3 linked regions of the Caenorhabditis elegans genome follow. The protein of the gene in region 2 interacts with the protein of the main gene of each other region in a pairwise test. Each region holds a gene or a part of one and is shown on either strand. Other genes may lie near its edges.

Region 1 (4,922 bases), on a different chromosome or scaffold from region 2:
ACGAGTTTTGTCCAGACTCCTGAACTCCATAGATACCATCATCCACAAATGGGAGACCCGAGATTGTGATTGGGGTGGTTTCCTGAAATTTAAAAATTTTCTTAAGTTTAGTAGTTTTTAGACACCAAAATTGCAATACTTCTTGGCTGAAAATGTACCACTATCCACAAAGTAAATATTGTTTGGAAATTGTTAAAAACCACTCCTTTGGTCCCAAAATGACCAAATATCATGATAAAACTTTTCAAACATTTTTTGAAAATTTTTTATGTACTGTCAAAGAGTGGAAATTACTCAGTTTTTGCCATTCATATTTTTGGAAGTCGACCAAAAAAAAATTTTTTTTCGACATTTTTTATGTTTTAATTTTGTTTAAATTTTTTGTATGAAAGCATCGGAGGTGTCGAAACATGCGGAATTGCTTTGGATTTCCTCAAAAGCTCGTATTTTTGAAAATTTTGACAACTTGCCAAAACTTTGACTGAAAATTACGAAAAACCTAAAATTTTTGGAGTGTATTATTATGATATTCGGTTGTTTCGGGTAATTTTAAGTACATTTAGACAAAATCCCCACTGGCGCTATTCCACCTTTAAGTTAAAAAGAGTTGTGAATTTTTTTGCAATGTTTCATCACGATAGGTTTTGGGAGCTATTATGAGTATTTTGAGGCAATACAAAAACGTTTCTATACTCCACTTTTGTTTACAAATTATCAACTACATATCAGTTGAAAGTTTTGAACAATTAGCTGGCTGAGAAATCAAACAATTTCAAGCCTTCAAAAGATACCAGGTCCAAATTGTAAATATCTCCTATTTAGGCAAAAAAGTGCCATTGAAAAGTACCTGTACTTTCTCCATGAAAGAATCGAATTGATTTACAGACATTTTCCAATATCTCCTCCGATGTTCGTCATTCAGCCGATCTTCTGAAATTATTAGAACGTTTTCTTTGCAATTCCCACACTGGTAGGTACAGGAAAAAACAAATATCGCCGGATTGGCAGTTTATTTTTCTAGCGATTCGCCAGCCCGAAAATGTTTGATTTAAATGGTCGTCACGTTTTACGAGAAAAGAGGGCGAAAAATGGAGAGAGATGGAAAGTGATAATTCTTATCGAGAGCACTCAATGCCAAAAACTATTCGGTCTGTTTACAACTTTTAACACGGCGCGAGAAAGCTATGCAAACGCTGAATCAATACAAAAATTTCAATCACACTCACCCATTTGTTTTTGAAATGTACAAGACGTGTTGATAGTGAACTTGGGACACTCTGATAAACCGAATCTTCGTAAAAGAGGCTCGAAAGTTCTGGAGCCGTCGGACGCTGTGATGAACACAACAATACTGTTGCGTACATGTTCTGGAAGATTGGAGAGAACCTGGAAATGTGAAAGTAGGATCTGAAGTCAAGTTCTAGATACCTGTTGCAGTTCGTCTTCTTCGTGCATGCTCATTCTGTGCAACTGTGAGAACACAATTGCAATAACGTCCAGTCTCATCTTCCAATTGTTAAGAAGCCATTTATGTATTAAAGATGGCGAATCGAAACCATCACTGAAATTTAATTATTATTGTATTTTTTTAATCCAAGTTGTATATTTTTTGTACTGTAAAAATTACTGTCTTAAGAGTTTTCTGCATTTTTCGTAAAGTTAGTGGTTAAAAAATTTTGAAATACATTGCAATAAACAATTGAAATACATTATGTATTTTTTTTAATTTAGTAGATTAACCAAAGTAGACAGATATTATCATCATAAAAGCTCCTAACAGAGGAGGATTTTACAAGTTCTGGCTAAATTTGTAAAAAGAAACACCCGTCGTACGGCTATTTAAACTACTAGGATCATTTATCTGGAAGGAATAAAATGATTATCACGTATTTAAAAAAAAACAAAATAGTATAAGATTTTCAATAAAGTGTTAAAAAACACACAAAAAAATGGCTGAGAAAATGCAAAACGTAAGCTATGCTCCTATTATGAAATCTTCAACAATTAAAATTTTTGCAATTTTAGAATTTTGAACAGAAGAGTTGCCGATAATTTAAATCATATAATTTCGAAATAATGAATTCAAAACCTATAGAAATCTAAAAGTAAGGTCCCTAGAAACCCCAAAAACTATTGAACACCTTATAAAACAAGAAGAGTTCTTTTTAGTCCTGTTTACATTTACTTTGATTTACGACCAGATAACAAGTCGAGATTTTACGACCTGTTGTTGGCCTAATGGTAGAAGACAGTGGTTAAATGACATGGACCTCTCCATCGCCACAGCAAAATTGTACATTTGATTATGACTGCTATGAGGGACTTAGAGGGACGGTCCTTTTGTTCCCAATAAGAGCCTACATTCAATAGTACATTAAATACATAACTGGGTTTGAACATTTGACACTGCTCTAAGTTTCAAGAAAATGGTAAAGTTTTGGCCAATTTAGTTTTAATTTAATTTTAATTTGTACCAGAAACCCAAAGTCGGTAGATATCCTATTTCTTGTTTTAACATTAATTCTAAGAATAATTTATTATGCTCATTGGAATTTGCAACTTTTATGATTTTTTCCCAATTTTGAAAAAAAAACCTACTATGTATCTCCACACGCGATCATATCCAGAATTACAGGACGAACCGACATTTTTGTTTCGTTAAAAATATAGCACTGTACAGGTTTTGTAGGAGTTTCCGAGTTGAATTTCTGCAATTCAATACTTACTTTTTCATATTACAATTGTAATACTTCATTGGAAATGTGAAATCTCCTTTGATCCATTGAATCCACTCCATAAAAATAATTACACAAAAAATCGATAAGTTCTGACTTTTGAGAACTTGTTGGTCCTAACAATAAGACTACCCGGTTTTCGCGTTCTTCGTTGTCTGAAAAAAAAAACAGTAAAATTCTCAAGATAATTAAGACTCCAACCTTCCTTCGCCGAGACAAATACAGTCCTAACATCCTTCTGTTCGAGAGCTTCACCCACAAATTTCGAGTCTGGGGAGATCATGTCCTCGAGCAGAGGAGTATCGGAAAGTGCTCTACAAGTTTTGATCAGTTATTTGAGTTGGGATGTGTTGCGGCGTACAAAATGTATAATATGCAAAATGTTTGTTTTGGTCATCGCAGTTTAGTTAAACTTTCATGAAGTGTAAGGTTTCGATTTGAACTGCAATAGTTTTTGAATAGGGCAAAAAGAAATTGTAGGGTTTAAAATACTATTAACCAGAACACAAAATTTAACCCTTGAAATAAGCAGTTTTTTACCCTGCACTTATTAATTTAACAAGAGAGCATTCGGATAACTTATATATTGTCAACAACACTACAAAAAACATTCGAGAAAAGATGAAAACAAATTGTTTTAAAAAAACTTTTTTGAAACATCGGAGAAAAATATAATTTCTACGTTTGAATTTTGAGAAAATTTTAAAAAATCGCCAAAAAATAATATTTGCCATAATACTAAATCTGGCTGAGATCTTAAAATTATTTTCAGAAAGTACTAAAAATCTGCAACAAATCTGCTGAAAAATTGAGAAAAAGGATTGTCGCCGTCAAACGACCTTACTTGAAGTTTTGAAAAATCTATTTTTCTCCTAATAATTATATTTCCTTTTCTAACGCAAATTCTGGGATACCTAATTAAATTGTGATGATATTCTCTAAAGAACTGAAAACCTGCACTAAAACTATTATAAAAGAAACATTTTTAATTATGCAGAGATAATATGGTGATGCAAGTTATTATTTTATAAATTGAGTCGTCAGTTAAAAAGGGGATGAACTAATCTCAACGTCAGTTAGAAAGAACATATTTTAAAGTTTCAAAAAAAAACTAATGTAGAAAAAATCGAACATTTCATTTTGCACAAACACGTTGAGTCACAAATGTGGGGTTGCCGAGCTGTGAAAGTGCACACGCAAAGAAACAAAAACTGTTCTTATCATCAAAACCAATGATAATTATTTTATTCCTATTCTACCGCTTATGTTTTTAAGTATAACGGTACTAGATCAGAATCAAAGACCTGTTGCGAAACTGTATGTTAGGGCACTTAAAACATCTTCAGCTAGCACTAAAATTCCAGGAAATTTTCGATTTAACCATGTTTGTATTGTATTCCTCACTGCGAATTCCACCACACTGATAACTCATTCCTGTCAACACACGTACACACATACCTGATCATTTTATAGCCGAATACTTTCCGTTAGGTTGGCTGTAAATCAGCGTTGAGAAGTCATAAATCGGTTATGGTCTTGACGTAAAAGTGAGAAAAATGATACATGATGATGGGTGATAATAGTGATAATAGAGGAGAAGAGAACATATCATATTTGGTAGTAGGATTGAAACCTGTTTTTTTTGTTCGATAACCTCCAGCAGCTACACGATTCATATAATTATTACGCCATTGCAGTGTATAAGGTGTACATGTATGGGTGTCCTTGTCACCACTTTTTGATCGAACGCTTCCCAAATTGAATGGTGAAACGGTACAGTGAAAGCAATAAAGTGTGAAGTACAGCTTGTTAAGAATGTTCTGCAAGACTTGTTTAATAATTATAGTTACAAACTCAAAAACTTTTGAAAAAATATTATGGTGGACACTCAGCCAAATAACTGAAAAATTGACTACTAGCTCGAAAACGATAATAAATTAAAAAAAAAACTATTGTATGTAGGATATAGAAAATTTTTCACGGAGGTTATCTTTTTCACAGTTATGAATAAACTTATTGTTTAGACACTCACACCAGTGAGCATATTTGCATTTTAGTTAAATGCGAGGGGGCAGATAGCTCAGTCGGTAGTGGTGGCCGCTAGCAGTCTGGAGGTCACGAGTTCAAGTCCGGCCTCACCCCCTAGGTTTACCCAGCCTCTATTGGGAAGTGGAGCAATCCACGACA
Region 2 (6,272 bases):
TTAAACAAAACTTACAAAAGTTTTTCAACGTCGTTTTTTGCACATTTTTCGAATTCCGTTCAGCTTCAATACATTTTTTTTCCAAATTGGGTTTCAATATAAAAAAAAAACGTTTGAAATTTCATACAAAATGATGATGCATCATCAACATGTTGTATGCACGGCTTCTTCCAAGTGTTCACTTTTCACTTTACACCGCTTCCCCATCTTCTCTTCGCCGCCGGCTCCGAGGATGCGACCCGTATCTTTCTTATGTGGAGGGAGCTATTTTAAACTCAAAACTACTTTTTCGAAAATGAGCTTCTCAATAGACTAGTACCCTTTGCTTCGTCTTCTTCTTTTTTAATAGTTTCTTGAGAGGTCATCTACAATCCTTTTGAACTACTTTCAAAAATGGACAGATGCCTGCTCATTTTTTTGAAATTTGGACTCATTATAAAAGTATTATTTCGTAATTTACCGAACATTTAAAACAAAAACTCCTTCAAATCAAAATAATTTTTCCGGTTCTCTGTAAAATTGAATATTAATTGAAGCAAAAACTATAGTTGGGCTCCGAAAATCGCAAAAAAAGAAATGGAGGACATTTAAATTTTCGGGAAATATTATATATATATATATATATATATATATATATATATTATTAAATATTATTATATTATTCATATCGCCTCCACTACACTTTTGTTCATATATTATAATACATTTTTCATTTTCTTCCCAAACCAACAATACGTTTACCGCAACTTAATCGTTTGCCAAAACAAACCAAGTTCCCTGATTTCACTGATATGTGTGATAACAATGTGAGTATGGAAAGTCAAAATGAGCACAAACATAAATGTGTGAGAGTTGTGTGTAGTGTCTTGTCGGGGAGTGAAGAAGGGGGCTCCATGAATAAATAACACATTCTTCTTTCCCGCTATTTCTCAATTTTTTACCCGAAATCTTTGTACAATCACCCTATCCGCCCATTTCATCCCTCGTTCGTTTCTCGCCTCGTTTACTTTTACTCATACATTTTTTTGTCTATCCGTCATTTTCCTACCATTCTACATCCAACCTAACCTAACCATTCAATTTATTTACTCTATCTGTCTATGTTTCTTTGTTTCGCCTTATCTATCATTTATGCCATACAACTTTCGTTCCCGTCCAAGGGTGAAACTTTCCAAAAAGCATAGAATTTGGAAAGTATTTCCAAATTATAAATTAAAAAAAAATTTTGTTTTGTCTTAAAAGTTAGAATTATAAAGATTAAGGTTCAGCAAAGATAATACCTCAAATTGACAGATTTAATATTAAAATTTTCCGAAAAACCCAAATTTGATTTATTTAAACTGGCAACTTTTAATTTTACCACACATAATTTTATAAACCCAAAAATATATGTTTTTATTCTGATAGGGTAAAAATATGTGACAATTCTCAAAACTCTTATGAATTTTACCAATTTTTGCCAATTTACAAAAACATTATTATGATTTCTATTTGTATTTTTTTCTAGTTTATTCAAATATCTTCAATCTTCATATTCTACAGTTTTTATTTCCAGAAAATGAGCAAAAAGTGTGCTCGCGAAGATTGCGGGAAGACGGTATATCCAGTTGAGGAACTGAAATGTCTTGATAAAGTTTGGCACAAGCAATGCTTCAAATGCACTGTTTGCGGAATGACATTGAATATGAAAAACTATAAGGGATACGACAAGAGACCGTATTGTGATCCGTTAGTTTTTATGAGAATATTTCAATTTCTAAATTTTCAACTATTTTCAGACATTATCCAAAAACCGTGGCTTCAGTGATGGCGGATACTCCAGAAATGAGAAGAATCGCAGAGAATACTAAAAATCAGAGTAACGTAAGTTTTTGCAAAAAATTTAGAGAAAAAATAAATCGTCTCCCCATAAATCTCATTTATAATTAAAAAATATAACATTTGAGAATGTTATCCCAAAAATTGTAAAGAGTTTTTAAAATTCTTCCAAAAAATATCTGTAAAATATTTGTAAAATCAAAATCAAAAATATTATAAAATCTACACAAATAAATTTTGTCGAATTCGGCACTTAAAAAATTTGTAGTGGTGTCAAATTATGGATTCTCAAAAAAAGGATCTCGCCACGGAAACTACTGTAAATCAAGTTTTCTTGAAGAGTTCTAATATAATGTTCATCTTAGTATATAATGAGAATTTTCCATACTAAAAATGTAAAAATTAACTCAAATTTGAGTTTATAAAATATACGAAATTTTCAAATTCTTCGAGTTTCCAAAATTTCGAAAAAACACAAAAAAAACTATAAACAAAATAGCTAGTTTTATTCAATAAAACCTGCTACTTCCTATAACTGATTTTCAAATTTTCATAATCTGAAATTTTAGATCAAATACCACGCCGAATACGAGAAAATGAAGGGAACAAAGATCGAAATTGCTGATGATCCAGAGATGGAAAGACTGAAGAAAAATACTCAGGTTGGAAATAAATTTTTAAAGATAGAATAGAATAATGCTATTTTAAGGTTCAATCAAATGTTTCCTATCACGGAGTTCTCGACCAAAAAGCTCGTCAAGAAGAAGTCCGTCCAAAAGAGGAAATCTCACCAAACCCAACTCCAAGTAAGTTGTTCTTCCATTTTGTTGTCCCCATGGACTTGAGAATTGTATCGTCCAAGTTATGTCAAAAGTCTTGCACGGGAAAAACTTTTAATTCTTTTTTCAATTTTCCTCACTTTTCTCTTATTGTTTTTGTATCGCTTTTTACTGCCAGTTTATCAACTGGTCACTGGAAATGGAGGAGTTGTGTATGGAATTGGAGTGGCAATGGTTCAAGAAACTGAAGAGAAGTATGAAGAAAAAGAAGTTGATGAGGAAGAAGAAGACGATGATTATTGGCAAATTCCGGTGATTGTATATCCTAGATAGAATTCGCTTTTTTTTTAGAATTAGTTTTCAATGTTTCTTTTTTCATATTTACCATATTCTCTGAAACTGTACTGGAAACATTTTGTACACTTTTGGCACATTTTGAGGGGAAATATGGTATATCGATATCTAGATTAGATACGTTTTGTTTGTTTTCTTCTACCTCATCTTTGCTTTTTTCAGCTAGCCATAATTCTAGAGCAGATATTTATAATCAATCTTAAAGTGTTCTTGCTCAAAGCTGAAAGAAAATTACTAAAGACTCTCGCTTATTGAAAATTGTAAAAACTATGTGGGACAAGTTCTTGCCAAATTTTGGCAAAAGTATTAACTTGGTTGTTGCTCTAGGTCGCGCCAATATTCAGTCCAAAATTGGTCTAACAATATATATAGCCAAATTTGACATGACAAATTTTGAATCAAATATTTTTATCAGGATTAGGTTAATCTAAACTTAAGTTTTGTCCAGATTTGGACTAAACTTTGCCAACTTTTCAGCCAGGTACATACTTTTTTAGGCCAAACAGATAACAGAGTTTTCTTCTAAAAAAATAACACTGTTTTTAAAGAAGAATATCTTAGATGTTCTACAATTGAAAAAGCAAACTTGCAGTGTTGTTTCTAGAAAGCTGAATTCTTCATTCAGTTAGTATATAGAATTATAGAAAACTTTCCAAAATGGCTTTGAGTGAAAATACTTTTTAGATTGAACTTTAATTTTCAACTTCTTTTCGTGTCATATCAATGTCCTAATGTTCACTTATTTCTCAAATCTCTTCATTTGTTTCATACAAAATACACCTTCAGGTGTTGTTGTTCCACCACAACCCACTGAGCCCACTCCAGCTCCATCCGTCCCAGTTATTGACCAAAAGCCGAAAGCAGTCAAATCGACTTTTAAGAAAGGGCCAGCCAAAACTGTTAAAGCTTAATTTTCCTTTCAGTTCGATTTCTGATCATGACTATTATTTTTCTATCTATTCAAATCCTACATTAACCATGACAAACTGATTTTTTCAATAAAGAATACATTTAATTAAAGAATTATTTCCAACAAATCAATCTTCTCCATTTTTCAACTCACTTTTTTTTTCCACTAACCATTTATTGCAGCTCCAATCTCTCCAATGAACCATCAATCATATTCGGCTCCAACACAAGCAGTAGCCGCAAATACGCATTTGATCTACTCAACAGAGCAAGGTGGAGCAGGTTAGTTAGCAATTGAATTGATTAATGAGCATCCAAAAAGAGCACCTTGTGTATTGAAAAACTGATTGAATGCCTATAAAAGTTATTGCTGATTTTGTTGCTGATTTTTGTACGGATACATTATTTGACCAAAAATTAAGATAATGCTAGGTCTCAGTCTAAGCCTAGCCTAAGTCTAAGCCTAAGCCTAAGCCTAACCTCTTAAAAAGTTACAATAAGGTTTTTCCTTGCGCTTGGAGCGCAAAAGAAAAGAAAAAGAGCTATTTAGACTTAGGGTGCCCAACTGGAATAAAATATAGGAAATCCTTATGACACACTTAAGCCTAAGGGCCCGAAAAAAAACTAGGATGCCCAACTGGAATAAAATATTGGAAATCCTTATGACACACTTAAGCCTAAAGGGCCGAAAAACATACTAGGATGCCCAACTGGAATAAAATATTGGAAATCCTTATGACACACCGGCGGTATGGCGCGGCTTCAGCCTAAATAGCCACTTTTATCGCGCGTCAGTGGGGGAGCTAACGCTCCCCCACTGACGCCAAGCCTAAGCCTTGTCTAATTTATGGTATCTAGTTATATAAAGTCCAAATTTTTCGTTGTGCTTCATGTGTAATTTTCTAAAAGCTTTTGTGTTGTGCATTGTTATTTTTCTTCGCTTTCAGTATCTCCAACACCACAAAAATCAATCGGAAGTATTGCTGACTATGATCCAATGAACGGACAATGGGGTACAGCTGCTGCTCAACCGAGAAATTCCGAGAAACTTGGATATTTGAGTAAGGATTTTGTTTTTTTTTTTGGCTTTTGTTTGAATGATTTGCTCATTTGTAATCCACACAAATTTTTTGCACGTTTTGGTACTTATTAATTCGTTTTGTGGAAGAAATAATCTTTTAAAAAGCTCATTTTGAATAATTTTGATCTGTCATTAATTGAAACTAACCGCTTGTTGCAGAGGCTCAAGTGGATAAAGGTCCGGCAAGATTTTGTGCGGATTTTGCAGGAGCTCCACCTCCATCATCAAATAGTATATCTTCAACATCTCCACATTCAACACTTTCTTCTCCACAAAGCACAATTTCACCGACTGGAAAAGCTGGATTTGCAGTTAAGGCAATTTATGATTACGCTGCTGCTGATAAAGACGAGGTAAATTTAAATTAGGTTTTCAACCAGTTTCACGATGAAAATTTATTCAACCATCTAAAATATTTGATTCCAGATTTCATTCCTCGAAGGTGATATCATCGTGAACTGCGAGAAAATTGATGATGGATGGATGACAGGAACAGTTCAACGAACTCTTCAATGGGGAATGCTACCTGCAAATTATGTTCAACCACATAAACTTCCTACCGGATTGCACCGACTTTCTTAATATTTCCAAACCCACGCACATTTTCTATCTCTCCATGACCTGCTCTTGCTCACACATTTCCCCTAAATGCTTCAATTATGCTTCAGGCTTCTGCAGTTATTTTTTCAACTTTCTGAAAATCCCACAAACGGGTTCTGTTCACCTTCTGAATGCCTTTTCTCCATTTGTTTTTCAATCTTCTAAAATGTTATATGGTGCTGAAATTTAAAAATTAAAAATTATAATAAATGAATTTACTATCAATTATTAGGCCATTGTCATAAATAATAAACCGTGTCTATAAGGCACATGAGAACAAAATATACAGATCTAAATTATACTAATCTTATAATATTAGAAAAAGTCTCCAGCATTTGCTCTATCTGCAGCTCCGGCTGATGTTGAAGGTCCGACGTTATCCCCTTTTCTTCGGATCATAGATTCAATCCCAGGTGTGCCAGGAGTTTGTGCTCCTTGGCTCCAAGATGATCCAGGTGTAGTAGAACCACGACTCCATGCAGAACCAGGAGTTGTGGATCGCTTTGAACTTGACGGTCTTGACCAATTCGACATGATTTTCGGCGAGGCGAAAGGAGATTTGTGAGCAGGTAACATTTTTAATCCAAGCTTCTTGGTTGCCAACTTTTGAGCAGCAGGAGATAATTGTGCAAGCTTGTCTGAGACTCGCTTGGATCCAAATCCAGGTGTTCGGCTGAAACTTTACCAAGTTGAAAATTATTTGAAGTACTATTATCTCGTTATAGATTTTA
Region 3 (5,195 bases), on a different chromosome or scaffold from region 2:
AGTCATCAATCAAAAAAAATTCCTTCAATTTTTACGGTTTAATTATGTTCCGAACGATAATATTCAAACATTGTAGAGAATCGAACATGCGACAGTGCTGTAGTTTTCTCAAAAAGTGACAAAACCTCAGTAATTGCCACTTGTTGCCTGTCACTGAAAAAAAAATTCTGGAAAAGTTTAACTGTGATATGGTATTTTTGGCGCCATATGATTGGTTTTAAACAACATCGGAGCAACTCATGTTGAACTTCTTTCAAAAAACTTTTTTTAGAAACAAATGTTCACTAAAAATTGTTACCCAATTTTTTTGACTTCCTATTATAATACAAATTTTTCTTTCACCGCACTCTAAAAATTATCAAAAAGTGCTGAACCACACCTGTTCCCCTAAAAATTACGAGCGTCATTTTGATTCAAACGACAATCAGTGGAAGCTTTGAACATTTGAAAAAAAAGTGACGTCATAATTCTTCCCGTTGATAAGACTCTTAATTTTTCGCTCACTCATCTAAAGATGGTTTACAAAGAAAATTTTCATTGAACTAGAATGATACTAAAAAAATTTTCTTACAACATTTCGGTTTAACACACAAACAAACAAAAAGTCAATAAAATAATTAGAAAAAAATGAAGTGAATGGCAAATGACAGCGGAGCGTTGAGAGGAACAAAAATATGCTTGTTTGATCCAACTTTGATCACAGTATAAGGTTATTCCTATCCAAAAGTTAAAAAAAACAGGATCACAAATTAATCCGTAAAACAAAGATATGCTTAAAAAGATATGAAAAAAAAACGAAAAAATTTCGATTATGAGTTGCATTTAGGTGGTTGGCATTTGGAAGTCAGGCTTTTTGAGACGGATTTCAGAAAACAGTTGGTCATTCAAGTCGCTGATTTCTTGATAGTCCTGATGCAACAGTTCAAACTGTTTGTCGTACTGCTTCTGCTCCTCGACATAAATCTGAAAGAAAATTGTACTTTAAACAACTAAAAAAGAGCAAAAACCTCTGATTGAAGGATTCCAACTGCTTGTTTCAGAGCACCGTTTTCTCTTAACATCTCCAGAATCTCCATGCAATACAAATGAATTCGTGTGAATGATTCCATGGCCAGGCGTCCACGATAATGATCGCAATGCTAAAATATGAATAGTTAAAATGAATAGGAGTAGTGCACTTGGGAATATCGTCCAAATACCCCTTTAAAAATTTTGATGGACATTGACCATGAAATTTTTTTTGTTTTGCGCATATTCTAAAAATCACGCAATTGGCCAATCAAGACCTAAAGCTGGGACGCGCAAAAAAAATTAATTTTTTTCTTTAAAATTTGAAAAATAGCGGAAAATATCCAAGAATATACATTACAAGGCCGCTCATAAATAGATACTGAAAATTCTTCTGAAAGTTTTATTTTATTTTATTTTATTTTTTTCCATGGAAGACCCTTCTAAAACAGCCCTTCTCAGATAACTATGCGAGAAATAAGAGCAAGAAATTTTAACCTGAAGAAGAATATTGTAGATGATAGCAAACGATCTGTTGACCGCCTCGCTTTCTCGTTCTTCTTGCTTTCGGAGTGCATGCCGTTCCTCTTGCATTTTCACCATGTCTTGCTCTTGTTTCCGAACCATCGCATCCAGTTCTTTACTTCTTTGCTCGAGTACGTACATGCTTTGCACATCATCATCAATTTTTGACAGCTTCTTTCTCTGAAAATATTACCGTATATGTTATTCAAAGATTTTTTGGCTACAGCTGATTAAACTTAAACTTACAAGCTTTTCAGCTAACATCACGTTACTTTCAATCCTCTCATCAACACCTTCCAAATCTGCTTCCATTTCTTGAATTCGCCTTATTTCTTCATCATCCGTACCCTGGAATTTAAACTTTTTTAAACTTCTGAAGGCATAATTTTCTCATACCAAGTTTTTCAGTTCCTCTCTCATTTGCAGTTTCTTCTGAGCATTGGCTTGTTTTGTGTTCTCAATTATCTGCGTGTCTTCTTCCATTTGCTTATTTAATTCAGCAATTTTGCCCTGAAAATGAAAAGTTATCTCAAAACTAGATGTACCTAGCAACTAACCATCAACTTCTGAACGTATGCTTCTGGGTCATCAAGAGCTTCAATAAGTTCTGGCTTGTATTTTGATAGCTTATTTTCGAGCTCTCTGTTTTGCTCTTCAAACTGCGAGCGTTTCTCTTGTAACTGAAATAGTTAGTATGAAATTTTGACACTTTCAATGACAAACTAACAGCTTTATACTCTGCAAGTTTCTGCTCATATTCAGCTTGTAAAACTAAGTTTTCATTATTTTCTTCCGTCGCTTCTTCAACAGTTTCTTCTTCCTTATCGACTTTTTTGGCAAAAATTGGCTTTGGTGGAAGTGCAGGCTTTGTCAGCTTGAAGTTGAAGTCTTTCTCTGTGTGACTGGAGTTTATGTATTGCGAAATCCATTTTCTAGGATCAGAGTTTGGGATGGGTTTATTGAAGTTGCAAAGTGGGAAGGTTTCCGGAGTATTCTGAAAAAAATAGATTAAAAACTCTAAATTCAAGTTTTCAAGTTCTTGTTCGAAATAAAACTGTTTGTTTCATAGAAAATTAGACAATTAATGTCAGAGTCCAGAAAAAAGTTTTGATAATTTGAAATTAGCATTCAATCAAGCTCAGAAATTTGAAAAGTGCTCAAAAATGGTATGAAGGATGTCAATCAAGTTTGATAATTCGATAATTGGCAATTGTTAAATTTCAAGCTACCTTTGAGTACATTCTCAAGTGCTTCAGTTAAAGTGAAACTTTTTTTTAGATAAATCGTCTTTTCTATATTTTCACACTAATTATTAATGAATAATGTCGGTACAACAATACATTCGGCTTTTTGTTTCAGAGTTTAGCTTCAATTCAAATTTCAAAAAAAAAATTCCACACACATTTGGCAATTTCCATTCCCGATTTCTGTTCAATCCACGACAGTACACAGGAACCCATTCTGGTTGTGATTTCTCGTGTTTGACTACACTTTCCAGAAACTGATGACCCTGGTCTGAAATCAATCTTTTTTTTTAAATTTTTTTTAATGAAGTGAAGATTAGTGTTTACCTAGAGAAACGGCCTCTTGTGCGTCGGCCGGCAATTTCCTTATCAGTTCAATGAATGCACTGCGAAGATTGTTGATATTGCCGTATAAAACTGTGTGAAGGGCGGTGTCTCCGCGAATGTGAAATTTCTGAAATGAAAGGAATTATAAAGTTGAGATTAGTCAGGGGTTGACGTTACCTGCAGATAGTTAGAAATTGCGTTTCCAAGTTGCAGCCTGGTAGTTATAACTTTTGGATATACATATGACGAAATTGTTTGTTTACTACTATTATCTATTTTCCAAATACATCTGAAATATTGTGAATAAAAAATTAATAAAACGAAATCAAAAATAATAAATATTACCTTACTAAAAACTCAAAAATCTGAGGTGTGCTGAATTCTATTTCATCTTCATCAGCAAACGAGCTGAAAATAATAATATTTTAAAGAATAAAATTAGATTTCAGACAAAAAACATACCACTCAAGATGTCGGCAAGCGTCTCTGATGAAAGCATCAGCTTCCTCCATTTTCCGCAGGTGAAATTCCCTGAAAACAAAATAAATAGTGTTAAATGTTCATGTATATATTAGTGATAAAAGATTTCAGTGGTATATAAACAAATAAAAACAATTTGTAAAACATAGATAGTGAAAAAGAAAAAAATCTGCATTGCGTCCGATGCGCAGAATTCTACGACATTTGTTTACCGTAGTCTAAAAAAGAAGGCAACACACGGGGGATGGACACAGAGTGACCTAGTGACGGTGGTAATATTTGTGAGGCATGAAAGTTATTTTTCGAGAATTAATTTTGAATGTGAAACTATTCATTTTTACTTAAATACAAACACCGAGATCATATTTGCGCAAATTTAAGCATAATTTAAAACAAGATGTCATGAAGCTTTCTGTGCTACAGGCATTTTTGAACTTTTGAAAGTAATTTTTTTTAATTAATGGTTTTTCATAATTCAAATGAAAAGATTGAGGTTTGCACATTTTAAGAGCACCATTTTTGTTGCGAGGGCGAAAAACCACATTTCTTAACTTCTGCAACAAAAATTCGACAATAAAGCATTGTTTAACTTACAAGGAAAGTTTTTAAACTCACTTTAAAAAAACTCTCTAAAAAGGTTTATGCAAAAGTATCGCAACAGAGAAACACTATGAGCTGATATAAAGCCGACCTGAAAAATAAGGCCCGCAAAATTCCTAACAGAATTTTATTCCTAGTGTTTTCAAGTCTTAAACGCTCCTCAGTCGCTATACTTTCAGTTTTTTTTTGTCAAAAGTTTCCATTACTAAATATTTTGAAAATACTAATTACCAAAAGTCAGATTTACAGGTAAAATATTTTTTGTGGTAGAATTTTTCTTATACTTCACTGAAATTCGAGAAAAACTCCGCCTCGAATATATGTTATGGACATCAATTGAATTAAAAATTGCATTTTCTGCATACATTTATAGTTTGGACAATTTCCAGTTTGGTTGAAAACTCAAAAGAACAGCATGATCCAGAGAAACAAATTAGTGCGGAATATTGTCTCTTGGGGATATAAGTTCCAATTAGAGTCTGATTCATTTGTCTGCATTTTTGATATTTTAATTCAAATTTGCTCAATCGCAACCATATTCTCACATTTTCCGTTATTGTTTGTTTCAATAAGTTGTTTGGAACTATTAAAAGCAAAACTCTTAAGAAAGAGAATCCCACAAAAAGGCAATTGCATGGATGTCCTGAAAAACCGAATTTACTAAACAATTTGCATGTTGTTTAAAATTTTTCTAGTTTCAGTTATGCAAAACGTTAATAGAATTCTATGACTCACTAGAGTGATAATTGAAAAATCTCCGCCGAATCAATGAACTCTAGTGTATTTACATTATTACGCTGCCAGATTTACAACATCCATAGTGGGAATGACGACAAGTGTGAAAAAGGTCGTAAAGTGAACAGCTGGATGTGTTGGCGACCCGTAAAAGGTCAGTTTACTCTATGAGTACAATATTTTTGCGGCCGTACATTTTTTGGCGAAAACAACTACTATCGATTTCAAAATTTTGATGTTTTCGTGGTTTCATAGTGGCACCTGCTGGCTAGGTCT

What was found. The genes of interacting proteins can lie anywhere in the genome.
Region 1: the proteins of F42H10.3 (region 2) and tag-343 interact in a two-hybrid assay, tested with the Caenorhabditis elegans proteins (one large-scale study listed by BioGRID).
Region 3: the proteins of F42H10.3 (region 2) and R08E3.3 interact in a two-hybrid assay, tested with the Caenorhabditis elegans proteins (one large-scale study listed by BioGRID).

Annotation. Positions count from the first base shown.
Region 1 is NC_003284.9:16,671,715-16,676,636, forward strand, and holds the start of tag-343 (RNA polymerase II-associated factor 1 homolog), read right to left. Parts: upstream 3,019-4,922; coding exon 2,937-3,018; intron 2,891-2,936; coding exon 2,751-2,890; intron 2,709-2,750; coding exon 2,599-2,708; intron 1,562-2,598; coding exon 1,429-1,561; intron 1,387-1,428; coding exon 1,227-1,386; intron 931-1,226; coding exon 848-930; intron 83-847; coding exon 1-82.
Region 2 is NC_003281.10:8,482,600-8,488,871, forward strand, and holds F42H10.3 (LIM and SH3 domain protein F42H10.3), read left to right. Parts: upstream 1-1,553; 5' UTR 1,554-1,558; coding exon 1,559-1,728; intron 1,729-1,778; coding exon 1,779-1,863; intron 1,864-2,387; coding exon 2,388-2,480; intron 2,481-2,527; coding exon 2,528-2,624; intron 2,625-4,043; coding exon 4,044-4,142; intron 4,143-4,807; coding exon 4,808-4,921; intron 4,922-5,100; coding exon 5,101-5,294; intron 5,295-5,367; coding exon 5,368-5,523; 3' UTR 5,524-5,766; downstream 5,767-6,272. Other genes in the region: Splicing factor ESS-2, read right to left, coding at 5,857-6,220.
Region 3 is NC_003284.9:4,817,039-4,822,233, reverse strand, and holds R08E3.3 (CCDC22 N-terminal domain-containing protein), read right to left. Parts: upstream 3,642-5,195; 5' UTR 3,617-3,641; coding exon 3,567-3,616; intron 3,513-3,566; coding exon 3,450-3,512; intron 3,394-3,449; coding exon 3,282-3,393; intron 3,232-3,281; coding exon 3,105-3,231; intron 3,049-3,104; coding exon 2,936-3,048; intron 2,528-2,935; coding exon 2,261-2,527; intron 2,214-2,260; coding exon 2,091-2,213; intron 2,044-2,090; coding exon 1,930-2,043; intron 1,882-1,929; coding exon 1,780-1,881; intron 1,714-1,779; coding exon 1,507-1,713; coding exon of another isoform or gene 1,417-1,506; intron 1,140-1,416; coding exon 1,008-1,139; intron 964-1,007; coding exon 823-963; 3' UTR 519-822; downstream 1-518.